Linked DNA regions of Drosophila melanogaster. The protein of the gene in region 3 interacts with the protein of the main gene of each other region in a pairwise test. Each region holds a gene or a part of one and is shown on either strand. Other genes may lie near its edges.

Evidence for each region.
Region 1: the proteins of BCAS2 (region 3) and CG32655 interact in a two-hybrid assay, tested with the Drosophila melanogaster proteins (one large-scale study listed by BioGRID).
Region 2: the proteins of BCAS2 (region 3) and Elba2 interact in a two-hybrid assay, tested with the Drosophila melanogaster proteins (one large-scale study listed by BioGRID).

Annotation. Positions count from the first base shown.
Region 1 is NC_004354.4:12,233,962-12,237,662, reverse strand, and holds CG32655 (uncharacterized protein), read left to right. Parts: upstream 1-1,785; 5' UTR 1,786-1,933; coding exon 1,934-2,471; intron 2,472-2,537; coding exon 2,538-2,992; 3' UTR 2,993-3,101; downstream 3,102-3,701.
Region 2 is NT_033779.5:2,575,650-2,579,404, forward strand, and holds Elba2 (early boundary activity 2), read left to right. Parts: upstream 1-2,037; 5' UTR 2,038-2,213; coding exon 2,214-3,359; 3' UTR 3,360-3,530; downstream 3,531-3,755. Other genes in the region: insv (insensitive), read right to left, coding at 1-923, 988-996; ND-B17.2 (NADH dehydrogenase (ubiquinone) B17.2 subunit), read right to left, coding at 3,707-3,755. UniProt on the Drosophila melanogaster protein: The heterotrimeric Elba complex is required for chromatin domain boundary function during early embryogenesis.
Region 3 is NT_033777.3:27,920,776-27,924,099, forward strand, and holds BCAS2 (BCAS2), read right to left. Parts: upstream 1,582-3,324; 5' UTR 1,499-1,581; coding exon 1,424-1,498; intron 1,357-1,423; coding exon 595-1,356; 3' UTR 508-594; downstream 1-507. Other genes in the region: CG12259 (uncharacterized protein), read right to left, coding at 1-219; RpL4 (ribosomal protein L4), read left to right, coding at 2,142-2,144, 2,350-2,530, 2,595-2,965.

The DNA.
Region 1 (3,701 bases), on a different chromosome or scaffold from region 3:
AGGCCTTTGGCAACCTTTGAGGGTCAGTTGCTTTGGCCAACTTCTTGGTGTTGTTGGCCAAAGCTAATTAGCTTAGCGCGTTTAAATCGCTCGAGCATCGCTCATTTCTAAGGCATCTCTCTATATACTGCTTTATATAAACGGATATGTAACCCCGGAGAAATGGCTGTCGATAAATAAAATAAAAGGCGGGGAGGAGTGCCTCGTACAAGCCACAAAATACGAAAACAACAACTGGGATAACCCTTTTTTTTCCAACAGACAATTCCAAGCCATTACACTGAGAAATGTGACACAATTTGAATAACATTTAAAATATAAAATTGAGCATCAATTCGGTTTGGATTCCGGCTTTTTTCATCCTTGTCTTTATTTTGCTGATGGTTTTTGGACATACCAACCCAACTCCTTGAAGTGATGGATTTGCTGCCTGAAGAGAACATTTTCTTGGGCCTTTTCTTTCCATTCCCCATTTTTCCGGGCCGTCTCTTCGTTGTTGTTGTTTGTTTGTTTTATTTTTTGTTCCCCCGCCACGACTTTCTGTTCTTTTTCGTTTTTACTTTGTCTAAATTGCGTAAATTATTGGCATATGTTGTCTTCGAAGTCCTGTCGAGAGAGGCAATGAAACATTTTTAACCCTTTTCCTTGGAAATTGACAGGGGCGTAGGTTGGTGTGCGCTGCGAAAATGTCGATGTCGGCCTGGTATTTTTTATTCCATTTTGCCGTCTTTCTCTGGGATTCTCGGGTGCTCTCCCTAGTTTTTGATATCCCCCATAACCCCACATTTTGGGGCGCCTCTGTCTGGCTGCCAGTTGGCTGTCATTTATTCCCACTTCGGGTTCAGTTTCGGCTTCCACCAATTTTCTCCGGCTCCTCTCTCCCACTTTCTTTCTGTTTTTTTTTTTTTTTTATCATTTATGGCCGTCGTTCTTTGGCTTTTTATGTGCGCTATTTCGCGATGTAGAACAATAGCCGCCCGCCAGCTCATTCAACCCACTGCCAAAGTCGTGGATCCAGGATCCCAGGATCCTGAGTCCGGAATCCTACTGTTCCTGCTCCAGCTCCAACTTCATCTTCGTGTGCTTTTGTTACAGCAAAACGGGCAGGGTGAGCCACTACTGTCCTTCACTATCGCTCGTTGCGCCCTCGCGCTACTTTATTGTCTTGCCAAAAGAAATAGACTTTTAATATACTTGGCCATTCAGAGCACAAAACATGGAGCGAAGCTCCCAGGGAAAACTCCTTTTTCCCTCCTCAAAAAAAAAAGCAAAAAAAAACTGCCAGCAAACACACGGAAAATAGAGGAAAAAAGGACAAGTGTCTGGGAGTGTGGAAATATTAGGCGATTTTGCCAGTTCATTGACTTGCCACAACAATAGTTTGAAGTTTGTCTGCCAAAATATGAGATTCCGAATAAAATGGAACCAATCCCGGGATGGGGGATTCGAAGGCGAGCGACGGAAAACAGAAGCTAAAAAGTTTTTCACTTTAATAGTTCGACCAATTTGAGAGTGGCTAAAAGGCCAGGATAATGGCAGCACAGGGAGTGCAAATAAAATCGTACTCCGATTTATTTGTACTTTTTGTTGGGCGCAATTTCTGACTTGATCAATTTGAAACTTGGCCATTTTATAGCCATCATTTCGGATCAAAATAAAGCCATGTTAAATCTATTTTTTTTTTTTTTTTCAATATCTAAAACATGTTGGCCTTGATTTTAGTTGACTAGATTTCGAACATCCATCAGTTGATTATCTCAGTTTAAACACGACACAGTAACTGTGCACTACACAATAGAACAAAATTCCAAAATATTGTTGTTTCAGGTCTAGGAAATTCAAAATTTTTTTTTTGTTTTTGATAGAGCGACTGAGGATTCCCTACTCTAAGACAATTCCCAAGAGAACCTCAAGCTCAAATCTCAAATAAAATATGGCCGAGAAGAAATCCCAGGACAATAAGGATAATGTCAGTGGATCCCAGAATCGAACGAGCCGCGTGGAAGCCCATGTTCGCCAGCAAGAAGAGAATAATGCTATATTTGCTCGACTTTTTGCCAGTTTGGACGCTGAACATCGTAAATTGAAAGAACTTGAAGAGCGCAGATCGCAGCTAATTGAAGAAATGAAAAATTTGAGGTCTCTACTCTTTGTTGAGAATAAAAAACTTCGACAGACCGTTGCTCCCATTTCGGGTGGAAATCCATTACCAATTCCAGCTACCAGTGCTAGTTCCGTCGTGAAAAAGAGTTCGGAGAAACCTTCTGGCTCTAGGACCTCTCCCATTATCAAGTCAGCACGTTTGGAACGACGACCTTCCAATAAATCGGTTACAATTGCCGATCCACCAACACAAAGTTTAACGACTAGCGAAAGACCCAAGGCAAGTAGTTCACAAGGTTTAAAGAAAAAGGAAAATCGACGAAGTCTCGTTGTTCCAGCAAGGAAAAATAAACATAGAATAACTTTGGGTAATAAGCGGTTTCAGCTATTTCACATTCTAATTTAATCCAATCAAAACGGTATTAAATTTCTAGATAACTTATCAAATACCAGAGAGGACATGTTAGACGAGTTCGATGAATCCGCATTGGCAACTTCTGTGGGCTCCAATTTGCAGACTTTGGAGCAGCGAAGATCCAATTTAGAGGAACGAGAAGATATAGACGAAGTTTTGGTCTCGCTGTCAGCATTATTCACCTTTGTGGATTCTCAATTTACAGACCAGGCCATTTTACCAAGTACACCTGATACCGATGATTCCAAAACTGACGAAGTGATTCCCAATACCGATCAAGATCCAAGTTTTTATCTCCCAAGTGCCGATTCTTTGTTCAAGGACATACTGGGACCGAATTCGCCATCCTTAGAGGTGAAATTGCCAGAAGAATCACTTCAATTGCAACCAGCTGACATTGTCGAATGTTCAGCGAATGTGGCGGAAATCGTTGAAAATGAACACGAAACGGAAACGGAAACGGAAACTGATTAAAAGCCCCCTTTAAGGGTTTTTAAGACTAATCTAATGGTTAATTAAACTTGGAAGTGCAGCTATTTACTAGATCTGGCAACAATATTAAACAAATACACACATTGAAGCCAACTAGCCAGCCTTTTCATTGGGGGATCCACTGAAAGGCTTTTAGAAAACTCTGTTTAAAAATCCTATAGTTTTAAACTTTGAATAGCTGAATGGCTCACCGCATGACTACTTAGTTTTTCAGGGATCAAAGGCAAACAATTTTCCTGTTGATGCTATCAAAAATGTGGCAACATATTTACGTACAAGTGGAGGGCCTATTATTTTTGGGGTGGAAGAAAATCTGCACATGCTCATGGCATATTCGGTCGACTTTTCTCAGCATATCTTGTGCTTTATTTTTTGTTCGTTTTTTTTTTTGTTTCTTATTCAATTTGCCGACCCTTGGTCCCCTGTCTCAAATTGAAGTCCTGGGGGTCGAGGACACTCTCCACATCCATTTCAAAACAAATTAGTTGCCAACTGTCCGAAACAAATGTTGTCTAACGAGCAAAATCGAGTTGTCTCCCATTGCTATAAGAATACACATGAACTAGGTAGGTATACCATATACACATAAATATATATAATACAATATATATTTGGTATATATGTATGTACGGACATGTCCACTTCTTGGGAGTTTTGTGCGACTTGTTTGTCCAACGAAATGATATGAAAA
Region 2 (3,755 bases), on a different chromosome or scaffold from region 3:
TCCTGATCCTTGAAGGCGGGCGACGGCTTGCCCGTCATCGAATGGGTGGCCAGAGTTTCCCGGTCGAAGATCGTGACCAGTAGTTTCCGGGTGGCCAGCGAGCACACCGACCAGTTAATATTCTCGAAGACACTGGCGGGCACACAGGTGTTGTTCGGGCCAATGGACACCATCACGTTGTCCATGTTTTGCTGTTGGCCCTTGTTGAGATCGGTAAAACTGCCATTACGGGCTTTGACTTGGGGTTTGGCTGGTAGTTTTATGTTCTGCCGCGGGATTTCTTCCTGCAACTGAATCTCCTGCAGCTTGCGGCGTTTGATGAACTGTAGTGGAGTGTCGGCGGACTCGGAGGAACCATCCCTCTTTATGCCGTTGCTAATCCTGTACTGCTGCTGGGAATTGTGATGATTGCTCTGCTGATGATTCTCGTCGCCCAGGCAAATCTCCAGGCGATCTGAGTCCGCAGAGGTGCTCAGGCTGTTCAGACTCTCCGCCGCCAGGCGAATCTCAATGGCATCCGCATCGTCGGGTGCCGAGATGATCTTGTAGTCCAGAATCTGGGGATTCTGCGCGGGCGCACATATCTCTGAACTCGGTGGCGTGAGAATGTGGTGGCTCTGGACCGCGGGCGGCGTGGGTGGTCTACTTTCTGCCAGCAGGGAGGATGCCTGTTGCATCCTGGCGGAGGTGGCATGAATCTGGGATAGCAGATCCTTGTGCTGCTGCAGTTTGGCCTCCAAGTAGCGGACCTTATCGCGGAGCGCTCTGTTCTCGACCTCCACTTGCGGGTCCGGCGCGGAGATGCTGCGAAGCACCTCGAAGTCCACGCTAGAAGTCTGCGACCAGGCATTCAGAAACAAGGGCTTGCTCCTCCTTGCCTGCGAATCCTCGCGTGCAGTGGCGCTGACTATGCGCTGATATTGCTGCAATTCGATGGGAAAAACTCTTGATCAACATATTCGGTGGAGATATCCTGCAGCTACTCACGTTTTCCATGTTCAATCCTCAAAGGATCTGCGTCAACTGAAAATTGGCGGCAGAATGCGAAAAGTGGTTGCATTCCTACCTGCACGCACACATGCGCACGCATATACGGGGAAGAGAGCGCCTGCCTCTGCGTGTGTGTGAGTGTGCCCTCCAGGTAGCTGATATCCTATTCCTGTTTCTGTTTCAGGACCCCGTCTATTTCCCAACTAGTCCAAGTCCAGCTGTCTTTTCCTTTCTTCGCATGGGATTTGTTGTTTGCGCGGGAACCAGTATATGTATTATAATTATTATTATAAATAATTGCGAATAAAGCTGCTTTTGCTCTCTCTTTCATCGACAGGGTTGACACCTAGGGCTATGAAATAAAACTATCGGTTGCAAGTCACGAGGGTTTTAAATTTTTAAGTTCTCTCTATAAAGTTTTTTTCTTTTTCTTTTCAGAATATCCGTTTGGTTAAAATTCTGTATTCTGCACTTTGGCGAAGGTCAGAAAATAAGAGAAAAAAGTAAATGTAACAAAGGAATGTGTAAGAATTCTTTCCACAGTTCCAAGAACCAAAAAGGACAATAGTTGGGTTTTGTAAAAAAAAAACCGGTTTTCAGGACCCGGACTGCATATTATCCATTGCAATTTGAATGTATTGGGAACCCTTCCAATACATGAGATCCTTTTGGAATATAATTCTTCGCTCAAATGCTCTCTGATCGGAAAAAAAACACCCTTAAATTCCATTTTAGAAGGGATACCTATTTAAGGGTAAGTCTACTGGAATTCCGTCCATTGTAATGCATTTTGAATGAGCGGAAAATACACTCAAGGATATATGGTACTGCCTTTAAAATTTCAAGGCATAACTTTTTGAGTTAAAACATGTACGAGTATTTCGTATTTAAGACTAGCCTTCAGAAGCAAACGGTTTTTTAATCATGTTACTCCTATATTTCCATAAGAATTTAAGTAAAGCCTAAAGGCGAATATTTTAGACTCTACTTCCAATTATCGAATGCAAATTATCTTTATTCGGCGACCTTGGCAGCCCTGCAAGATTAAGATTTTCGGATTCTCAGGTATCTGGCGCAAGGAACAATAACTGTTAAGCCGGGCCATAAAACACCAATTTTTCCAACGAATAATACGCAAAATAAGCCAAGAAAGCCGACGCAGCTGCGTTTTTTGCCAGAAATAAACCTTTTTGCCTTTACCTGTTGCCAAAATCCGCGTGCAAATGGCCGGCGGATTTCGACCGTACGATCAGGACTCGTGTCCTAACCTTACAAATAGCGAGGCTCCGGAATTCAGCATGTCAGTCGTTTGCAAAACGGAGCCGCACTACTTTCATCCGCAGACTGCTATCCTGCCCAGCGTCCAGTACTCCCACCCATATCACCACTATCTGAGCCAGTTCGCCCCGAACTTCGTGCCCTACTACTACCGCCTGCTCTCGCGGCCCATAATGAAGCAGGAGGAGATGGACATCGAGAACTACATCAACTACGAGGTGGCCGCCCAGCAGACCATGATGCGCCAGCGGACCCTGAAGCCCCTGGGTCAGCTGCAGATCCAAATGCCGCCTCCCATAATAGTCAACCAGCCAGTTAAGCCAGTTCCCGTTAAGGCAGTGCCAGTCCGCCGAAGCTCTCCGCCCAAGCGACGCGTCATCAATGCCCAGTTGGTAGCGGTAGCCACCGCTTCCGGGGGCATTAAGAACATCGAACCGCGGGTGGAGCCACTGCCTCGCCTGGAGGAATCCTTTAAGCAGCAAGTGGCCAAAATCCAGAAGAGTCAGCACCACTACGAACAACTCTTTGGTCGTCTCACTTCCATGCTAAAGACCCTGAATCAGCGGTACGACAACGATGCCGAGGATGTGCCCGCGCCGCCCTCCAAGAGACCGCGCCACATGTCCACCAGTTCGTCGGAATCGCACATCCCAGATACTGCCTCTGAAAAGGACGAGAAAGACACTCTTGTGCAGTACCCGCACCGAGTGCAAAAGGAGGACGGCAGTGCGGTGTACGTACTGGGACCCAATGGCACCCAGATCACAGCCCATCAGTACGGTGAGGTCTTCTGGACCAACGCCCCGGTGGCCACGAGGTGTCTTCTTTGCGTTGTCTTCAGCAGCGATGAGTTGGCTACCCACACGCTGACCGGGAAGCCGTCGCCCGCATTCTACGGCCGCGAAAGACCCCCAAAGCTCCAGTTAGACCAACGCAAGGTGGACGACATCGTGGTCTGTGTGAGAAACCGGACGGGCGGCAAGGAACGGGTGATTCGGGCCACCATCACTACCAAGTGTGCGGATACCGCCAAGAAGTACAAGAGGCGGGCCAAGAAGGCCCAGAAGGTCGCCATCAAGGAGGAGTATTAGCATGGAGTGGACAACTATTGGCTAGATATAATCCAGCTATGATCAAGCTCTTCTCAACGACGCGCCACGAAAGGCGCAGAAAGACATTGTATATATTCGTAGTAGGTCCTGCTAAAAGTAAAAGTAAAGTTATATAATCTAGCTGTGATTGAATAAAGACAAGATGAAACCAATTCAAAACCTGAATAATATGGGAATAGGCAGAGTTACTTCACTTTTCTGTCCATTGCTAAAATTGTTCTTCGAGTGCAGAGTCAACAAAATTGGGTTTATTAACTCGATCGGGTGTTCTCATCAATCGCAGCCATTTGCACTTGAATTTAAAAATAATTATAAGCTATGCCACACTACTGCTTCTTCGCCTTGGGTTCCCAGGCCTCCACTTTGTTGGGTGTT
Region 3 (3,324 bases):
CTTCATCTCGTCGAGGGTGACCAGACCAATGGTCGAGGACTTGAGCTGCTGCTCCACGGCATCGTAGTGGGTGGCAAACTTGTTCTCAATCTTGTCCAGCTTGAGCTCCTCCTCGATCTTCTTCTTGCGAAACTCGATCTCCTGCTGCTGGATCTCCCGCTTCTTCATCAGCTGGGCTGCACGGCCCGCCTCGCTGGCGGCACCTTTGTAGTGGGCCATCCTTAGTTGTTTCTGTATTTATTTATATTTTTTTTTATTTAATTCGTAAACGAAATTTGTAAACATCCAATTGGTGTGACCGTAGCAGAAACATTGAAAAATGCCATTCTTCGTATAAAAAATTTACAGCACAAAACACTACCTTACCAATTTGAAATAATAAAATATTTAATCTTGAAATTATTTAAAATTTACTAGCTGTCCATTCCCCTGATATAAGAGCAAAAAGAAGAGGATCACTATTTCTCTGCAACGATTTTGAAAAATAAAGATAAATCTTAGATTTTTAGCTGTTTTTTTTAATATCCTTTATATTTAGTTACAGTCGTAAGTTTTTCTTTAACTTGCTTCATGCTTTCGCTCAGTGTACTAAATCTACGTTGATCCATTGGAAGATTCCTCCTGTGCCTCGGATTTGTCCTCCTCCTTGCTGTCACCATCGGCATCTGTTCCATCATCGCCAGGTTGGCTTGGATCTGGATTGCTGGAGCTACTGCCGTTGCTCTCGGCCAAATCGTTCTGGTCGAAACCATTCGTGTATTCCGGCGTTGGAGCCGTGTCATTGGCGCTGGGCGGCGGGGTAATCTTCCGCAGCTGCTGACGGGCGGCATGGACGATCTTTTCCAGCTCGACGCACTCCGTCTCGATCTCGTAGTTCTTGGAGACCAGCAGCACCCAATGGGCTTCCAGGGAGCGCAGTCGCTCGCCGGCCTGCGTTTGCGCCTGCTTGCGCTGCCAGTTGACATCTTGAATGTCCTTCTTCAGCTGCTGCAGCTGGAGCTGCGCCTTCGCCTGCATGGCGGTGAAGACCTCCAGGTAGGACTTCCATGCCTCCGTGCCGTAGTCGAGCATTAGCTCCAGGTTGAGAGAGCGCACCCACTGGTGCTCCAGCTGGGCCATCGAGTTCTCAATGGCCTCCTGCCAGGCGGACACCTCCGACAATTTGCCCGATGGCGGCGGTGGCAGTTCGTAGCGCTTCATGGAGAGCGTCTCCATGGGCAGGCGGTTCTGGATGCGCTCGAACTCGTTGGCCATCAGCGGAGTCTCAAAGGGCGAGCTGGCGGGCAGTGGCAGATGGTCAAGGTAATTTTTTGTGGGCCTATAGCGCCGGCATTCCTCCTCCACCATGGCGAGAGCCTTTGGAAGAAGAAGATGCCATTTCAAAGTCAGTTTCAACGTGCAACATGGATATCCGTATATTTACCGATTCCCGGACGCCCACATCGTCATAGCCGTGATCTATGTAGGGCAGAGCATCCACAATAACTTCGCCAGCCATTATTTATTATTAATTTCTGTGTTTTGAGACTGTTTTTTCCGCAAGTAAACAAATACAATTGCCGCTTCGCACTAGTGTGGCACATTTAGCTACTTTATAGCTATATAAACGGATAACAGAATGCTGTTAATTAATAGCCATATATCTATTTAGTAAATTTTTTTGTTTTAACATGAACATTTAAGCAAAAAATAAGCGTTGTTTTCTCACCAATAAAAGTTGTGTAAGTTAGTTTTTAACGTATGTATGTATTATGTATTGTTTGATTATTTATTATGCGGTTAAATTACAACAATTGTATTCTTGTTCTTTAAAAACGCATTGCTAATTTATAAATTTAACTAAAATACGTTATTGATAAATTCGAATTTAGATTTGTAATATTATAGTTTAATTGCGAGAATATAAACAAAAACTTCTCTTACGAGAGAAAAAAAAAGCTAAAAGTGTTGGACAGCGTCCAATTAGCCCTGTAAGCTTGACACTTGCTGCTGTTAGCAAATGCAACCATGCGCCGTGGAACGCGATTGGCAGCCATTTCCGGCAGCTCTCTTTCTTTCTTCGTTCTTCTTAATAAAAAGAGGACGGTATCTGCGTTTGCAGAATATTTAGCACCTTTCATTGGGTTTGAAAATCAACGAAAATGGTGAGAAACGAAGCACAAGGCACTCCGCAACCGCAGCAGACCCCAAAACATTGGATTTAACACACGAAACGATGCGAAAATAGTGCAAAAGTGTCGCCCTAACCTCCACGTGTTTGGAATGTGCGGCGATGGCGAAATGCGCTTGTTGTGTTTTGTGATGTGAAATGATCAGTGAACTAAACCCGAATACCATGTGCACTTTCAGAGCTTAGGCAACGCCAGGCCATTGGTCTCCGTGTACACGGAAAAGAACGAGCCAGCCAAGGACAAGAACATATGCCTGCCGGCAGTGTTCAAGGCGCCCATTCGTCCGGATGTGGTCAACGAGGTTCACCAGCTGCTCCGCCGCAACAACCGACAGGCCTACGCCGTCAGCGAGCTGGCTGGTGAGTAAACTGTTTATAACTCCTCTTTTGTGTGAATCTAACCCGTTTGAATTCCTGTTTGCAGGTCACCAGACCTCCGCCGAGTCCTGGGGTACCGGACGTGCTGTGGCCCGTATTCCCCGTGTGCGTGGTGGCGGTACCCACCGTTCCGGCCAGGGAGCCTTCGGCAACATGTGCCGTGGTGGACGCATGTTCGCCCCCACCAAGACGTTCCGTCGCTGGCACCGCAAGGTGAATGTCAACCAGCGTCGCTACGCCCTGGTGTCGGCCATCGCCGCCTCAGGAGTGCCAGCTCTGGTCCAGTCCAAGGGACATGTCATCGACGGCGTCTCCGAGTTCCCGCTGGTCGTGTCCGATGAGGTGCAAAAGGTCCAGAAGACCAAGCAGGCTGTCATCTTCCTGCGTCGCCTGAAGATCTGGGCTGACATCCAGAAGGTGGGTAACTTTGTACACCTATGAAGAACTTAATCCGAAGAATGTTAGGTCACTTAACTGTGCGTCTATTCAACTTCAACGTATTTATTTAACAAAACGTGAAGTTGTGATGTTTTAATTGCAAAGTTATAACTTTTTATTGGATTCCTACTTTTCGGATGCTTTCTAAATCTTACTTGGCAGCGTGCAAGCAACTGGCTACTCTTCTGGTTGTCCGATGCTTGCAGGGATCTCCTGCGTTGCCAGATAAAATGCTCTTCTTGGCGTTACGATTGAAACTTGATTCACGGCTTCCATCGTGGTAACGGAAGAGCAACAGCTGTTGTATTCATGTTCTCTATTTCCGAATTCCTGGAATA